Linked DNA regions of Pelodiscus sinensis. The protein of the gene in region 1 interacts with the protein of each later gene in a pairwise test. Links are inferred from orthologs where the notes say so. Each region holds a gene or a part of one and is shown in the gene's direction. Other genes may lie near its edges.

Region 1 (7,390 bases):
CAGAGGCATCAGCATGGAATGGCAGCCGGCTCCCCCAGCACGGGGCTGAAGCCTGCGTGTAACTGTTCACAGTAACTGGTAAGCTCATGCTTATCGGTCAACAGTTTAAACAGTTATTCTATTATATCCCTACTAAAGACAATGGGCTATGCCTGCTTATTTTAGTGCTAGTTTTTACTTCTACCTAATTGAAAGGACCCTTTCAACTTAAACATCATACTTGTATCTAAAATTTACCTACCAATGTTACTGTAACTGAGAATTTAGGAATGTGAAAGTGTAACCATGCACATGGATAACGGATGAGCCTGGGCTCATCACTTAACCTTAACAGTTACACGCAGGCTCCTGGTATGCATGAGTATCTGGCTTAAAAGCCAGCTTCTCACATGTACCAACTCCTGGGGAGCCACCTTCCACCTCCCCCCCCCCATATTTTGCTGGTTCTGTATCAGCTTCCAGTGCATATTGGCTCTCGAGGAGTCAACTGCCAGCCCATGTTTACTTAAATGCATTTTAATATCCCTACTGAAAATTAGAGTAAAAGATTATTTATCAATTGAACAAAGTTAATGTTAACTCTGTATTTAGTTAATGTCACTTACTTTTCTATAGTCAGATTCCTCTATTATTTGAGAGGGTCTTTAAAACAATAAAGGAGAAAGTAGGGCTGGGGGGAGAGGAGGAGGAGGAAAATGGAACTGCAAATCCCCAAAGTTGTTGAAGAGACTCATGCAGACTTAGTACAGGAAACTAGTTTTAGTACTTTTTAAACTCTTTTATTAAACAGACTAGATTTCAAGTTGATGGTATCTATTTAAAGAACTGTAAATAAATATGAGTGAATTGCAGCTCCACTGAAGCCAATGAGAATTTTCCAATTAACTCCAACAGGGACATGATTTGACCCCACATGTTCAAGACAAGACAAAACAGAAAATACTGCACAGTGACTAGAGTACAGAAGGAGGTCAGCAAGCAAGCAAATATTTTCTGTTCTATCAAATACAGCAACATGATTAAGAATCACAATGCAACACTGACCAAAACAATAATGGTTATACTGGGAATTAATAGCAAAATCTCAAAGAAAACAAGCAAGATTATACACACAATTAACAATCTGCTAACCTCTCCATAAACATTTTCTAAAAACGTAATTTTAAAATTCCAGGAACCAACATATGACAGAATGCTCCAAATCAGAGTTCCATATCCTAGTCTCTATAGTCTTTTCTCCCACCTCTCTGCCCTTCTCTCACTCCCATCCCCCAAATCCGTGGTTTCCTTTCTCCATTCCCTGTGTTTGTGTTATTGATTTATATTGCACTTTTTCAGGACAGGGATTTGTTTTAGTCTATATCTATAAAGTACCTAGCAAGTCAGGGGCCCTTTCTACATAAACAGTGAAACACAGTATTAGTTAGGCTTCAGCTAGGAGAAATGCAACCATTTCAAGAGAGGCAAATAAAGAGAATTCACTGGTGAATAATGATTACAAGAGTTTTGAAAATGACAGAATAATATTCTATCTAGAGTAAGGGGCAAATAGAGGCATAGCAACTGTCTACAAATAGGTAAAGAAATGTTATGTGTGACAGAGTCCTGTTATTTTGATTGCCCAGTCATGACAACAAGGAATACTGGGCTAAACTGAGAAATAAAGTTACACAGTCATCAATAAAGACTTAATGTTGGTCTAATCGGATAGCTTTCTTTGATAGGATAACGAATCTTGTGGATAAGGGAGAAGCGGTGGATGTCATATACCTAGACTTTAGTAAGGCATTTGATACAGTCTTGCATGATATTCTTATTGATAAACTAGGCAAATATAACTTAGATAGGGCCACGATAAGGTGGGTGCATAATTGGCTGGATAACCGTAGTCAGAGTGTTGTTGTTAACGGTGCTAAATCCTGCTGGAAAGGGATAACAAGTGGAGTTCCGCAAGGGTCTGTTTTGGGACCCGTACTGTTCAATATCTTCATCAATGATGTAGATATTGGGATAGAGAGTATGCTTATTAAGTTTGCAGATGATACCAAACTGGGTGGGGTTGCAACTTCTTTGGAGGATAGGGACATAATTCAAAATGACCTTAGCAAGTTAGAGAAATGGTCAGAGGTAAACAGGATGAGGTTTAATAAAGAGAAATGCAAAGTGCTCCACTTAGGAAGGAACAATCAGTTCCATACATACAAGATGGGAAGCGACTGTCTAGGAAGGAGCATGGCGGAAAGGGATCTTGGGGTCATAGTGGACCACAAGTTGAATATGAGTCAACAGTGTGATGCTGTTGCAAAAAAAGCAAATATGATTCTAGGTTGTATCAACAGGTGTGTTGTAAGCAAAACTCGTGAAGTCATTCTGCCGCTCTACTCTGCACTAGTTAGGCCTCAGCTGGAGTACTGTGTCCAGTTCTGGGCGCCACATTTCAAGAAAGATGTGGAGAAATTGGAAAGGGTACAGAGAAGAGTGACAAGAATGATTAAAGGTTTAGAGAACATGACCTATGAACTGGGCTTGTTTAGTTTGGAAAAAAGAAGATTAAGGGGGGACATGATAGCGGGTTTCAAATATCTAAAAGGGTGTCACAAGGAGGAAGGAGAAAATTTGTTCCTCTTGGTTACTGAGGACAGGACAAGGAGTAATGGGCTTAAAGTGCAGCAGGGGAGGTTTAGATTGGACATTAGGAAAAAATTCCTAACTGTCAGGGTGGTCAAATATTGGAATAAATTGCCAAGGGAGGTGGTGGACTCTCCCTCTCTGGAGATATTTAAGAACAGGTTAGATAGACATCTGTCAGGGATGGTGTAGACGGAGCTTGGTCCTGCCTTGAGGGCGGGGGGCTGGACTCGATGACCTCTCGAGGTCCCTTCCAGTCCTATTATTCTATGATTCTATTATTCTAATATAGACCAGGCAGGTCCACAGGCAGCACCAAAATGCAAAGATCTAGAAACAAAGCAGCCCTCGCTTCTTCCCAGAACTTAGAGGAATTTTTATGTGGAATGGCAAATTGTGCCCAAATGTAGCTATTGAGTTCATGTCTTGCAAATTTGACTGGATACATTATGCATAGTGTCTTTTGTTTTAATCCCATTTTTTCTCTATTCTTTATCTTTGTTTTAGGACATTTTAATCACAGGCTGTTAAAGCAAAGTCACTGGATCCATCCTTAACATAAGTCTGCCTTCTGATGAGCACTCAGATGAGCTCCACGATAATGGAACCAACTACTGTGGCTTTGCTGGGGGGAAAAAAGAGCGCTGTTCAGATGAGACAGTGGTTGATACAGATACAGTAAAAGCCAGTGGCCCAGGTATTGTGAATAGAAGCTTGCAAACATTTATGGGATTTTAATGGACATCATACAGACAATTACAACAAACTAGATGTTCCTAAGGGCTCTGAAGTAAGTTACATGCATCACACCTGCCTCCTCTTCGCCCTTCCTATCACTGGTCACCATCTACCCCAGTAACTCTTGCCCTACGGCGCACCCCAACGGTGCCTCTGTGCCTCAAGATCTCCACATCTCCCCCAGTTCCACGCGGCGTCTCTAGCATCAGCGGAGGGGGACCCAAGTTACTTAAGGCTTTGCCGCGCTCTGGGGTTTCACTCCCCCCGCCCAACACGGGCCCCGCATCGCTGCTGGGGGCTCAAGCTGGCGCACGACTCGCTGCACAGGCTGCCGCTTTTCTACCCCCGGCGGGGCAGCCCCACACGCGCTTTCCCGCACCGGCGGCAGGGAGCGCGCGGGACACGCCGCCACCCCCGTGGGGTCAGGCCCTGGGCGGCCCCACACGCGCTGCAGGGGCCGCGGGAGCCCGACGTCCCATCCCCCTCCGGCCAGGCCTGACCTCCTTCTCCGACGCCTTCTCCCCAACCCCCAGCAAGGCGTAGAGATCCAGCTGCAACAGCTCCTTATCGACCGCCATCTCCGCGCCGCCCCCACTGTCCGGCCGACCGGTTCCCCTGCGCCGCTGGGCCTGACCACTATCCCGCACCACTGGCTGCTGGGAAATGTAGTCTCTCCAGCCTCACATTCACCTCTATTCTTACAGCCCTAGGAGGAAGCGGAACTACAACTACCACAATGCCGCGCGCGGTCTACCGCCCACCCGGAAGTTCCCTCTCTGGCCTACCGGCAAAATCACCGCTCCCGGCAGGCTCTGCTCAGCAGGACATGCGCATTGTCTTGGGAAGTTTAGTTTTTTGTTTCAAGCCGTATAGCCCTGCGGATGGGATAGCTGGGATGTAAGGACTACAACTCCCATCGGGCCGTGCGCTGCCATGGCTTTGTTCTTGCCTACCTCGGGTGCTAGTGGGATAAGGGCAGCAAAGTTTCCTTGCCGGGCGCTGCAGCTGGAGTATCAGATCCTACTGCAAGAGTCGACGGGGCGAGGGGCTTGACGGATGCTGGCACATGCAGAGCCTCGTGGCTTGGGGACCGTACACTGGGCTGTGCGGGGTTTGCACCGACTCTGAGTCCAGACTCTCGCTGGGATTCCGGTTGTTACAGTATGTGCATAGTAGCATTGCAGCTTTGCATGGCACCTGGTTCGGACTGGGAGCTTCTGACTAGGAGCAGGGATTTTTGTCATCTTTGTGTGTATGTGCGCGTATGGCGCGGAGCACCTCTGGTTTGCTAAATACATAATAGTGTTATGGCACAGTATGTTAAAGCAGGAATTAAATCTCTGCTTTGGAGAGGTTGCATCCTAAGTACGCAAACATGTACAGTACAACGGGCTGTAGATGTTATTGCCGATAGGCTTTATAGAAGAAGGCGAGCTAGACTGGCTGAGATTTGGAGGAGAGGGAGAGCACTTTGGTGATCTCATCTTAGCTGTAAACATAGAACGTAGTCATTTAGGAGATCAGCAAATTATAATGTTATTTATTATTATCAATGCTTTCATTAAAGGTTTTTGTTTGTAAATGTTAAGCAAGGATCTGATCCCTTCTCCTCCTCTCTCTGATGAAAGAATCTGGGACCATCATTTCTACAATCAGTCGTTCAGGAAGTAAACAACCACTGATACACCATAATTCATCATTTCCCCCAATAGTCTTCCATTCCTCTTCTGAAGGAGAAGAATATTCCAGCACAGCTCTATCTGGACAAATAAACAGCTTCAGGGGATAAACTACTTCCTTTTGTACAGCTGTGAGAGAGTGAGCCTGCATTGCCCATTGGCGCTATGGATAGAAGGTGTTATGGCTGTGCATCCAAGTTTACTGTCTTCAGAAAAGAGGCAAGTCTCTCTTCAACACTGCTGGATAAAATATCTGACTCTCTAAAAAGACAGTTAGGCAGTAGAGTAAGTTTTCTTATGGTAGTGCTTGCTCAATGTAATCTGAAATGCCAACAATTTGAGGTTCCTCATATCAGAAATCGTAATCCCACCTACGGATGTAATAGTGTAGTTGATTAACCGATAAGCAAAAGCTTATAGGTTAATGCTGGAGACTACACGCATTTCCCTCCCCACCTCCACCCCACCTTGCCAGTACATTTTTTAGCAGGCTGGCCAGCAGCCTGTTTCAGTCCTGGGTCACGCTGGGTTAGGGACCAGCCCCCTGCTGCAGATCTTCACTTACAGTGTATTAAGAGCCTGGCGGGCAGGCAGCCCAGCGCAGTTCCAGTTCATGCCAGGTCCTGTGAGGGGATCTGGTTTTAAATTGGCTCCCTGCCTGGCACTCCATGCAGCTGCCTCTGATACAGAGGCAGCAGTACGGAGTGGCATGGGGCTCCTCGGGAGTGGAGTGCCAGCTCCTCTCCTGGTGACTATAGAATAGTCGAGTAACCGATAAGAATTTGTGAGGTTACTCGACTATTCACTTAACTGATATTTAACATTCCTAACCCCACCTCCCACTCTGCTTTACATTTTACAGTTAAAACCTGCTAAGCTTGTTTGACTCTAAGTACATTTTTTATGTGCGTCTCTGTCATTGTTTTCCTTAATTGCATATTAATGACAGACATTGTAATCTCTCTGTATTTAAAACATGTAGGAATTGCTATAATAGTGCAGACTTGTGGTCCATGTAATCTGATAGTCTCCAAATCCTTCAAAGGAAAGAGTGAACCCTTTACTCTACTGTGGGAGGAAATGGCATTGCTGACTCTAGTGGTGATCAGCTTGTGTCTTAAACACTGAAAACTCGTATGTTAGGTATTCTAGCTACAGTAGCTGCAACTACTATTCTTATTCATACAAATATTTCATTTTTCTTTTAAAGACATTTCTCTGAAATATTTTGTGGAAGTTTCTCCGACCTGGTGCATATCCCTGAATCTCTCTGGTATATTTCACAGAATTGTTACAACCAGGCAATGAGACACTTGCACTTCCATTTCCTGTCTTCTGAAGAAGTGGGTTGCGCCCACAAAAGCTCATGATACTATCTACATGTTTTGTTAGTCGTTAAGGTGCTACCAGTAGACTATTTGTTGTTTTTTAAGTTTTTCACTTCTTTATTTCTTTCTTCTCAGTGTGGATGCAAGAACTGTGGACGGGCATTCTGCTCAAGCTGCCTTGGGTTTAGTGCCATTGTTCCCCGTTGCGGGAATACTCAGCAGAAGGTGTGCAAGCAATGTCATGGAGAGCTAACCAGGTAAGATGGCAAGTTGGGCCAATGTGTTTCAGCTTCCAGTGATACAGAGCAGATTGCTGATCCACTTCCCTCTATAAATCCACTGTACACTGCCACATGCACACCATCTGCATACTGGAATCCCAAATAATCTTTTTCTCTTTTTTTTTTTAAGCTGGTACCATGTGGGTTTCAGTTCCAACTGTCCATACTAATGCTTAGCAGCTGAGCAGCCTAGTGATAAGATGTTTGTTTTAATAGCAAAACTTCCAATCAAGAAAGAACCCACCTTCATTGTTTCAAAGGCCTAGATGCTATATATAAGCTAAAGACCTAAGGTTGCATACCGTGGGATTGATTTTTGTTGTAACAGAAAAAGCCCACTATTCAGACCAATAGTTAAGCACAGTTAAGATGATCATATTTGTAGCATATAAACAGGTATTACAGACCTGTAACTCACAATGCTACAAAATATTATAATTATATATTGTATTGTATAATTGTGCAATATTATATATAATTATTGTATTACAATGTTTAAAACACATATCATTTTATATTCTGAAAAAGTAGTAAGGCACATCTCTTTCCCAAGGCTTATCACTGATTGTGAGCTCGAGAAGCTTTCCATTTCCTGCTTTTTTGTATCTGCAAGCTACAGTGGAGTTTGTGTTCCTCTTATTATAGAATACTAATGACACATTTTAAACCAAGTGAATTTTGGCCAGGTACTAGAATGCCAAGTGCCGTGGCAATGGCCATCACAGTTTGTATAGAT
Region 2 (7,190 bases), on another chromosome or scaffold:
GAACTACGTCTAGACTGCTTTAAAAAAAACTTTTTTGAAAACGCAATCGGATGTGATTATGCAAATGAAGTGCGAGATCTGTAAATCTGCACTTCATTTGCATTTTTTATTTCATTTACGTTCCTCTTTCGAAAGAGGAATGTAGTCTAGATGCACCCTAAGTGCCCAGGCAGGTTAAAATGTTCCCCTACAGGTTTATGTGTGTTACCATTCCTGATGTCTGATTTGTGCCCATTTATCCTTTGTCGTAAAACAGTGGTCATCAACCAGTAGATCGGGATCTACCAGTAGATCTTGGAGCCTCTGACAGGTGATCCTGACTGGTTTGGCCAGGAAGCTATCAAGTGCTGGCACTTCAGTTGCCTCTCCACCCACTGTCATGCTGCTCCTGCCCTCTGCCTTAGAGCTGAACCCCTGGGAACCTCCTGCTTGCTGTGCAGGGCATGGAAGGGAGAAGAGTAGGTGCTGATGTCAGGGTGTCCCTATTCCCTCCATTCCGGTACCCTATCTCCACTCAGAGAGAAGGGGATGGAGGGAGCTTGGCAATGCAAATCTCTGTCACTCTCACACAGTGTGCGTGTGTGTCTGTTATTCTCCCAAACACACACTGTCCTTCACTCTCATCTCCCGGCCCAGCACATATGTGGGGGGTTGTTGTTACTTCTTTTACTGCTTGCAGTGTTATTTTTGGTTTTTGACTGGTCTGTGCATTTCATAATTTTCATCTCTCTCTTACGCTTAAATGTAATTCTTTGAGTTCTAAAATGCCTAACCTGTCATGGCTCGAGTCATTATTCCTACAGTAACTGCTGCTCCTGGAAGTGTCTGTCATGTCCCTGCAGCCCCTGAGAGAGCAGGGGCTCTGTCCTTCCCTGCAGACACCACTCCTGCAGCTCCCATTGATCAATAAGAAGGAACGATGGTCAGTAGAAGCTGTGGGCTCAGTGCCTGTAGATGAGGGGCAGCACATGGCACCATGGAGCCATTGCTGTACATGCCAGCTGCTTTCAGGAGTGGTGCAGGGCCAGGGAAGGAGTAAACCTGCCTGAACCCCACTGCTCCACTTCCCGGAAGCCATCTCAGTTAAGTGGTGCCCAGCCAGAGCCTGCTTCCTGAACCCGTCCCAGCCCTGAACCTCCTCCTACATCCAACCTCCTGCCCCAGACATGAGTCTCCCTGCACCCAAACTCCTTCCCAGCATTTGCATGCTGAAATCCCTCCTGGGCTAAGCCCGGATCCCTTCTCACAATCCAAACCCTTTGGCCCAAGACCAGAGCCTGCACCCCAACCCCCTACCCCAGCCAGGTGAAAGTGAATGATGATGGGGGAGGAAGGAGGATGGAGTGAGTAGGGTGAGGCCTCAGGAAGGGGTGGAGCAGAGGTGGGGTCTCAGAGAAGAGGCAGGAAGGAAGTGGAGCAAGGGTATTTGGGATTGAGGTAGTTTTTACATTGCACTTAAATTGAAAAAGTGATGTTGTGGTTCAAAAGGTTGGAGACCACCAATGTAGAAGGTGATCCAGCCCAGCCCAGCCCCTTCCCCTCCCCCAGAGGCACAGAGCCAGTGGGACGCAGGGATCGGGGGGAACAGGGTGTGGTGGAGGCATGGGTAATGGGACGCAGGGAACGGGAGGGGCAGAGGGATCGGGGTCTAGGGGCAGTGCAGGGAACGGGCAGCACAGAGTTGGGGGGGCAGAGATCAGAGGGAGCAGGGTGCAGGGTAGGCACAGAGAATGGGACGCGGGCAACAGTAGGGGCAGAGGATTGGGTTCTAGGGGCAGTGCAGGGAATGGGCAGCACAGACCTGGGGGGGCAGGGATCGGGAGGAACAGGGTGCAGGGTGTAAGGGTGGCGCAGAGCCAAAGGGTCACAGGGAAGAGGGAGAGCAGGGGTCCAGTGTGCAGGTGAGCAGGGTCGGCGTGGGGAACGGGCGGCGCAGAGACAAAGAGGGGCTGGGGCCGTGGCAGGACTGGAGCCGGCGGGGCGGGCCCTGGCTGCGCCATGCGCCGCAGCCAGCTCCCAGGGACACACGGCCAGAGCCAAGCTGCCGCAGCCCTTTAAAATCAGCAGGGCCAGGTCACACCAGCGTCCTAGTGTCCCGCCCTGCCTCCTCGCGCCGGACCTGCACGCAGGCAGCCCGGTGGCAAGAATCGCCACACTTCCCTCTTCCCAGCGGCGCTCTGCTCCTCCGCCGGCCAGCAGATCGGATGGGGCTACGCCGCCCGTAGTGCGGGCTTCCACCGGCCCGTCACAACGGCCCACCGGGCCAGTCCGCCCCTGCACTCGCCAGCTGGTAAAATCTACTCGCCACAGGCAAGCGGGTGAGTGTATTTGTTCAGCCCTGCTAATTTAGGATTGCCACCTTCCCAAGATTGTTCTGGATCTCCAGGACATAAAAAGATTAATATTTAATTAAAGAGTATCCTATGTGATGATACCTCCAGGAATATGTCCAGCCAAAACTGGCAACCCTAGCCTTTTCCCAGTTTTGCAGGAGGTTGACATGCAGATGGGTCCATTTGGTTATTGATCCATGAGCCTACATGAAAACCCACATAAGCACAACCAGGCCCCCTGACAGCAACTCTGTGCCCCAGGACAGAACAGTCAGTGGGCACCTATGCATGCACAAACTGTTCCTCTGCCGACATGGTCCGCGTGACATTTGGGCAACGTTACGCCTGTGTTGGCTGATGCCAAGCAAGCTGGTGGCTGCACTGCTGGGTGTGCTCTTCTGGCACAGTTAGGACTTTGATATGCCCACCCGGCAGGGTTGCTAGGTTTGTAATTGCACAAGCCCAAAGATCCTTGCCTCACCCCCTGACTCTTCACTGAGGTCATACCCATATCTTACCCTTTCTCCAGGGCCCAGTACCCTCTCTTTCCATCTCCCCTCCTTCTGTTGCTCACTCCCTCCGACCCTCACTCACTTTTACTAGGCTAGAGCAGGTGGGGGAAGAGGGCAGGGGGCAGTGAAGGCGGTCAGACTCTGGGTGGGAGTTTGGGTGCGGGAGAGGGTACAGGCTCCAGTAGGGAGTTTGCAAGCCAGGTGCTGACTCTGGGCTAAGGCAGTAGGATGGGATGCAGCAGGAGGTAAGGGGGCAGCACTTCCCTTGGAAAGCTCCCAAAAGCAACTGGACACCCTTCTGGCAGCAGCTCCTAGACGGGTAACCCAGAGGATCTCTGCATGCCTGCAACTGTAGCTCCCATTGACCACAGTTCACTGCCAATGGGAGCCAGGGAGTTGGCACTTGGAAGCAGAGATAGTTAACCGGTTTTGGGGTTGCCCTAAATTCCATGGTGCCCTAGGCAGCTGAATGCTGCATATGGGGCAGTCCAGCTCTGGTGGCCAGCCCTATGTCCCATCCATCCCTCTGTGGGCTATGCTCCTGAGGGCAATCCCTAGGGGTGTGTGGGGCTGGGACACTCCCCCCTGCTCTACTCTCATACACTCCAACTCCTTTCCCAAACGCCCCCACTCCCTTTCTTCGCCCAAGCCCTTTTCTCCAAGGAAGGCCCCCTCCCCGGTGCCTCCCTGCCCCTCACCCCGCAGCTCTGGACATGCCTCCCACAGCTCCTGCCCCTGAAGCCTGAGTGCAGCGCCCGCCCCCACCGCTAGGGGCAGCCCGGTGGGAGAGGTCACAGAAGGGGAGTGGCCGCGCGCGCCCCAGGCCGAGGCGGCTCCACGCCCAGGCTGCAGGGGGCGCACAGGGAGGCGCGGACACTGCCAGGGGCCAGGGCCATTACAGTACTAGGCTCCGTAGACGGGGAGCGCGAGGCAAACATGCGGCAGGGAGAGCGGGCGGGGCCCAGCCCTGATTGACAGGCAGGCGGCCGGCTCGGGCCCGGCCACACCTCGGCGCTCCCTGCGTAGGCGGGAGCAAGCCGTGGAATGGGAAACACTCGTGCGCCTGCGCACAAGGCCCTTTCCCTTCGCATCCGCCCTTCCCAACCTCAGCCCGGGGAGCGGCTGCGTGACGTGACGTGACGTGTGACGTACGGCGCAGTCACGCGGGCGCGGGGCGGAAGCGCAGCGGGGTCCCGGCCGCCTTTTGGATACGGAAGTAGCGCGGGGTCCGGGCGGCGGGGAGCAGCTCCAGGGACCGGACACGGCGGCGCCGCCCCCCCGACATGGCCGCGACCTCCAACCTGCAGGTGGGGAGAGGGACCGGGGTCCCGCCCAGCGCTCCCCTGGGGGGCGGGGCCCGGGGGGGGGATGGGAGCGGGGCTTCCGGTGTCGGGGGACGCGCTGTCGCCTTGAGTTCTGTCTCGAACGGGCTAAACAGCGCGAGTGAGACTCGCTGTGTGTGAAGGGGAGAGAGACTGTGACACTGTCATTCTGTGGGGGGGGGGGGGGACCCGAAACCGGGCTGCCTCACCCGTGGTTAGCAACGTGCCCTCGACCCCCGTGTTACAAGGGGAACGTAGATGAGCAGGAGGCTCTTCATCTGGTCAGCCTGTGGGAAAGCCTTTCCTATTGCTTGGTTCATGCACTTTTGAAATACCGTAGTCAATGTAATCAGTCGAATCTTAAAAAACAACAAATAGTCTGGCAGCACTTTATAGACTAACAAACCATGTAGATGGTATCATGAGCTTTCATGGGCACAACCCCCTTCAGATGAAAACTCCGGTCCTCTGAAGAAGTGGGCTAAACCCACAAAAGCTGATGATACCATCTACATGTGGTGTTAGTCTATAAAGTGCTACCAGACTATTTGTTGTTTTTTAAGTTTATCCTGTGCAGCCTAACTCGGCTACCTGCTGAAGCTTTTAATCAATCTCAGAGGGGTAGTCGTATTAGTCCTTAAATTTAAAAACAAGTGGCCCTATGGCACCTTAGAGACTAACCAAAAGATATCTATAATCATGAGCTTTTTGTGGGCAAAATTGTCAAAAGCAAATATTCCTGCCCAGCACAGGGCTCTTCAGGATGCTTGGGGGTTTGTCCCCTCTGTCCATTAGCTGCACGGTTCACTGACTGCAAGCACTGATGTTCTCTGCCCTCTCGTATCCTATTCCAGGATGGAGATTTACCTCCCCACTTTTCAATTAGTTCTTTCTTGTTTTTTGGTACTTCAAAAAAGCATCCATCTCACATGCTACATTATATATGAGGTTAGAGGAGGTGAGATCTGTAATTGTTAAGGTATCTTCTGCTCTATTAGCTCTATAGTCACTTTTCTTTTTCTTTTGCACCATGTTTTCTCTCTCCTTGGCTTCACACGGTAGTTGTGCTGGTATAGTTAAAGCTAGTATGAAAGCAGATATAGTGGTTATAAAGGCAGTTATATAACTCATAAGACTTTTTTTAAAATCATACTTATAACTGAAATAGCTGTACTGTGACACAACTGGTGGTAAACTAGGCCCTAGTTAGGGATGTAAGGGAGTATTTGACTACCTGATAAATCAACTACTCTCTCTCCCGCCCCCCACCGCCTCTGCTGCCTCTGTGTCAGAGGCAGCAAGGGCAGGAAGTCAGCTTAAAACCTGGTTCACCCCAGCACCGTCTCCATAGGGTTGAGGGCAGACCTGCAGCATTCCAAAGCCAGCACAAGCTAGGACTGCATAGTCCTTGCTTACACCACCCCCAGGAGCTAACCCTACTGTAGCTCTGCAGTTTAAACGTACTAGGAGCCAGGCTACTGCACGCCCAGCTCCTCCTACTACATTTAAACTGCAGAGCTGCAGTGGGGATAGCGAGCATCCCCCTTATCGACTAATCAGGTAGTCAAACTGCAATGGAATATCCATCATCAGCTAACTGTGTAGCCAATTTAACATACCTAGTCCTAGTTTCCATTCTTTTTATATATTGATTCACTATTATTTGAGCTATCATAGCTCTTAAGAGCCTTCCTTTTTCCTCAAAACAATTAATGAGCTGCAGTCTCTGGCAATCTAACATTTTGTTTTTGTTATATTCTCCTGTGTTTATAAAAGGGAAGACCTGGGCCATTTGTTCTAGTTTTCAGGCTATTTTAAGTGGATTTCAGAGGTGGCCAATGAATTCTGTAGAGTTTTGTAGTTTTGTTTGAGGGATGTTAACCAAAATGCATACTGATAAGCATGAGGCTTACTGGTATGCTATCTTGTGAACCCTCCTTTGCCAGTTAACTCCGGTGGAGGCCAGCCGTGCTGAGCCAGAGCAACCCTGGCCGCAGCGTGACTGGGTGGTAGAACCCTGCAGCTATGGCAGGCCCGGGTGGCAGGGCCTAGATTAAAATAGTTAACTGGTTAAGTGCTATCATTTAACCAGTAAACTGTTTTAACATCCCCTTTTTGGTTTTTGGCAGGAGCAGAACAGAGGGTAACACAGCTCCCTTGCTTGCTGGTGATTTGCTTTAACAGCTAGTCTTTTCATATGCCCATGCCACCCAGAATGGAAGATTTTGCTCATTGTTTTAATGAGAAACCAATTCAATATTTTTCTCACACATGGTGGCTCGTTGTTTAAAAGGTCTTCCTTTTGAAACAAGTTCTTTTAGTTCTTGTAGTTTAATTTAATCAAAATATTTTTGCACCAGTGCAATTGAGTAAAAACCAACCAAACAATAACTCTACTGCTGCTTCCCTTCTGATCCCTAGATGCTTCTGCTGTGTATCAGCTTTGTTTTCTATGTGTTAGAGAGCCCAAATCCTGATACGGCTATATGCACGAGACCAAGGACCAATCCATACAGTAGTTCAAACTCCTAGAAGCAGCCTTATTGCTGAATTTTCATGATCCATTTGATCACTTTGCTAGTACAGTTAACAGAGAAAAAAACTATGTATGAGACCTGACTATAGTAACATTTACCACATGTGTATAGTTACTCTGAGCAAACTGTTAGCTGTTAAATAGCTGTATTTATATTGGCATGAGCTAAATAACACCAAATAGAAATGTAAAATTATCCATTATCTGTTCTTCTTGTCCATACACAAACATAACAATAGCTGTTAAAAAGTAATCTGGAAAAAACAAAAAAATCCCTTTTTATACAACTTTCTGATGTTTGAAGGCCTCTTCCTCTTTGCTTGTTAGGAATTCAGCCTTTACTTGCCCTCCTCCCTCCCATCCCCCCGAAAGACACTTAAAATACCAAGGATATGAAACTGGATTAACTGAGGGGTAGCGACTTTGTTAGATGGTTTACAACTTTTTGAGGTTTTGTACTGTAAGCTTGCAGTCCACAACTGAGTCT

What was found. The genes of interacting proteins can lie anywhere in the genome.
Region 2: the proteins of ZFYVE19 (region 1) and VPS4B interact in binary tests that used the Homo sapiens proteins (3 or more experiments, as listed by UniProt). The two-hybrid records come from large-scale screens. The link is inferred for Pelodiscus sinensis from reciprocal best matches to the Homo sapiens genes ZFYVE19 and VPS4B.

Annotation. Positions count from the first base shown.
Region 1 is NC_134714.1:63,499,417-63,506,806, forward strand, and holds the start of ZFYVE19 (abscission/NoCut checkpoint regulator), read left to right. Parts: upstream 1-4,225; 5' UTR 4,226-4,527; intron 4,528-4,933; exon of another isoform or gene 4,934-5,078; 5' UTR 5,079-5,210; coding exon 5,211-5,264; intron 5,265-6,508; coding exon 6,509-6,630; intron 6,631-7,390. Other genes in the region: DNAJC17 (dnaJ homolog subfamily C member 17), read right to left, coding at 3,867-3,944. UniProt on the Homo sapiens protein: Key regulator of abscission step in cytokinesis: part of the cytokinesis checkpoint, a process required to delay abscission to prevent both premature resolution of intercellular chromosome bridges and accumulation of DNA damage.
Region 2 is NC_134712.1:117,746,506-117,753,695, forward strand, and holds the start of VPS4B (vacuolar protein sorting-associated protein 4B), read left to right. Parts: upstream 1-3,981; 5' UTR 3,982-4,128; coding exon 4,129-4,152; intron 4,153-7,190.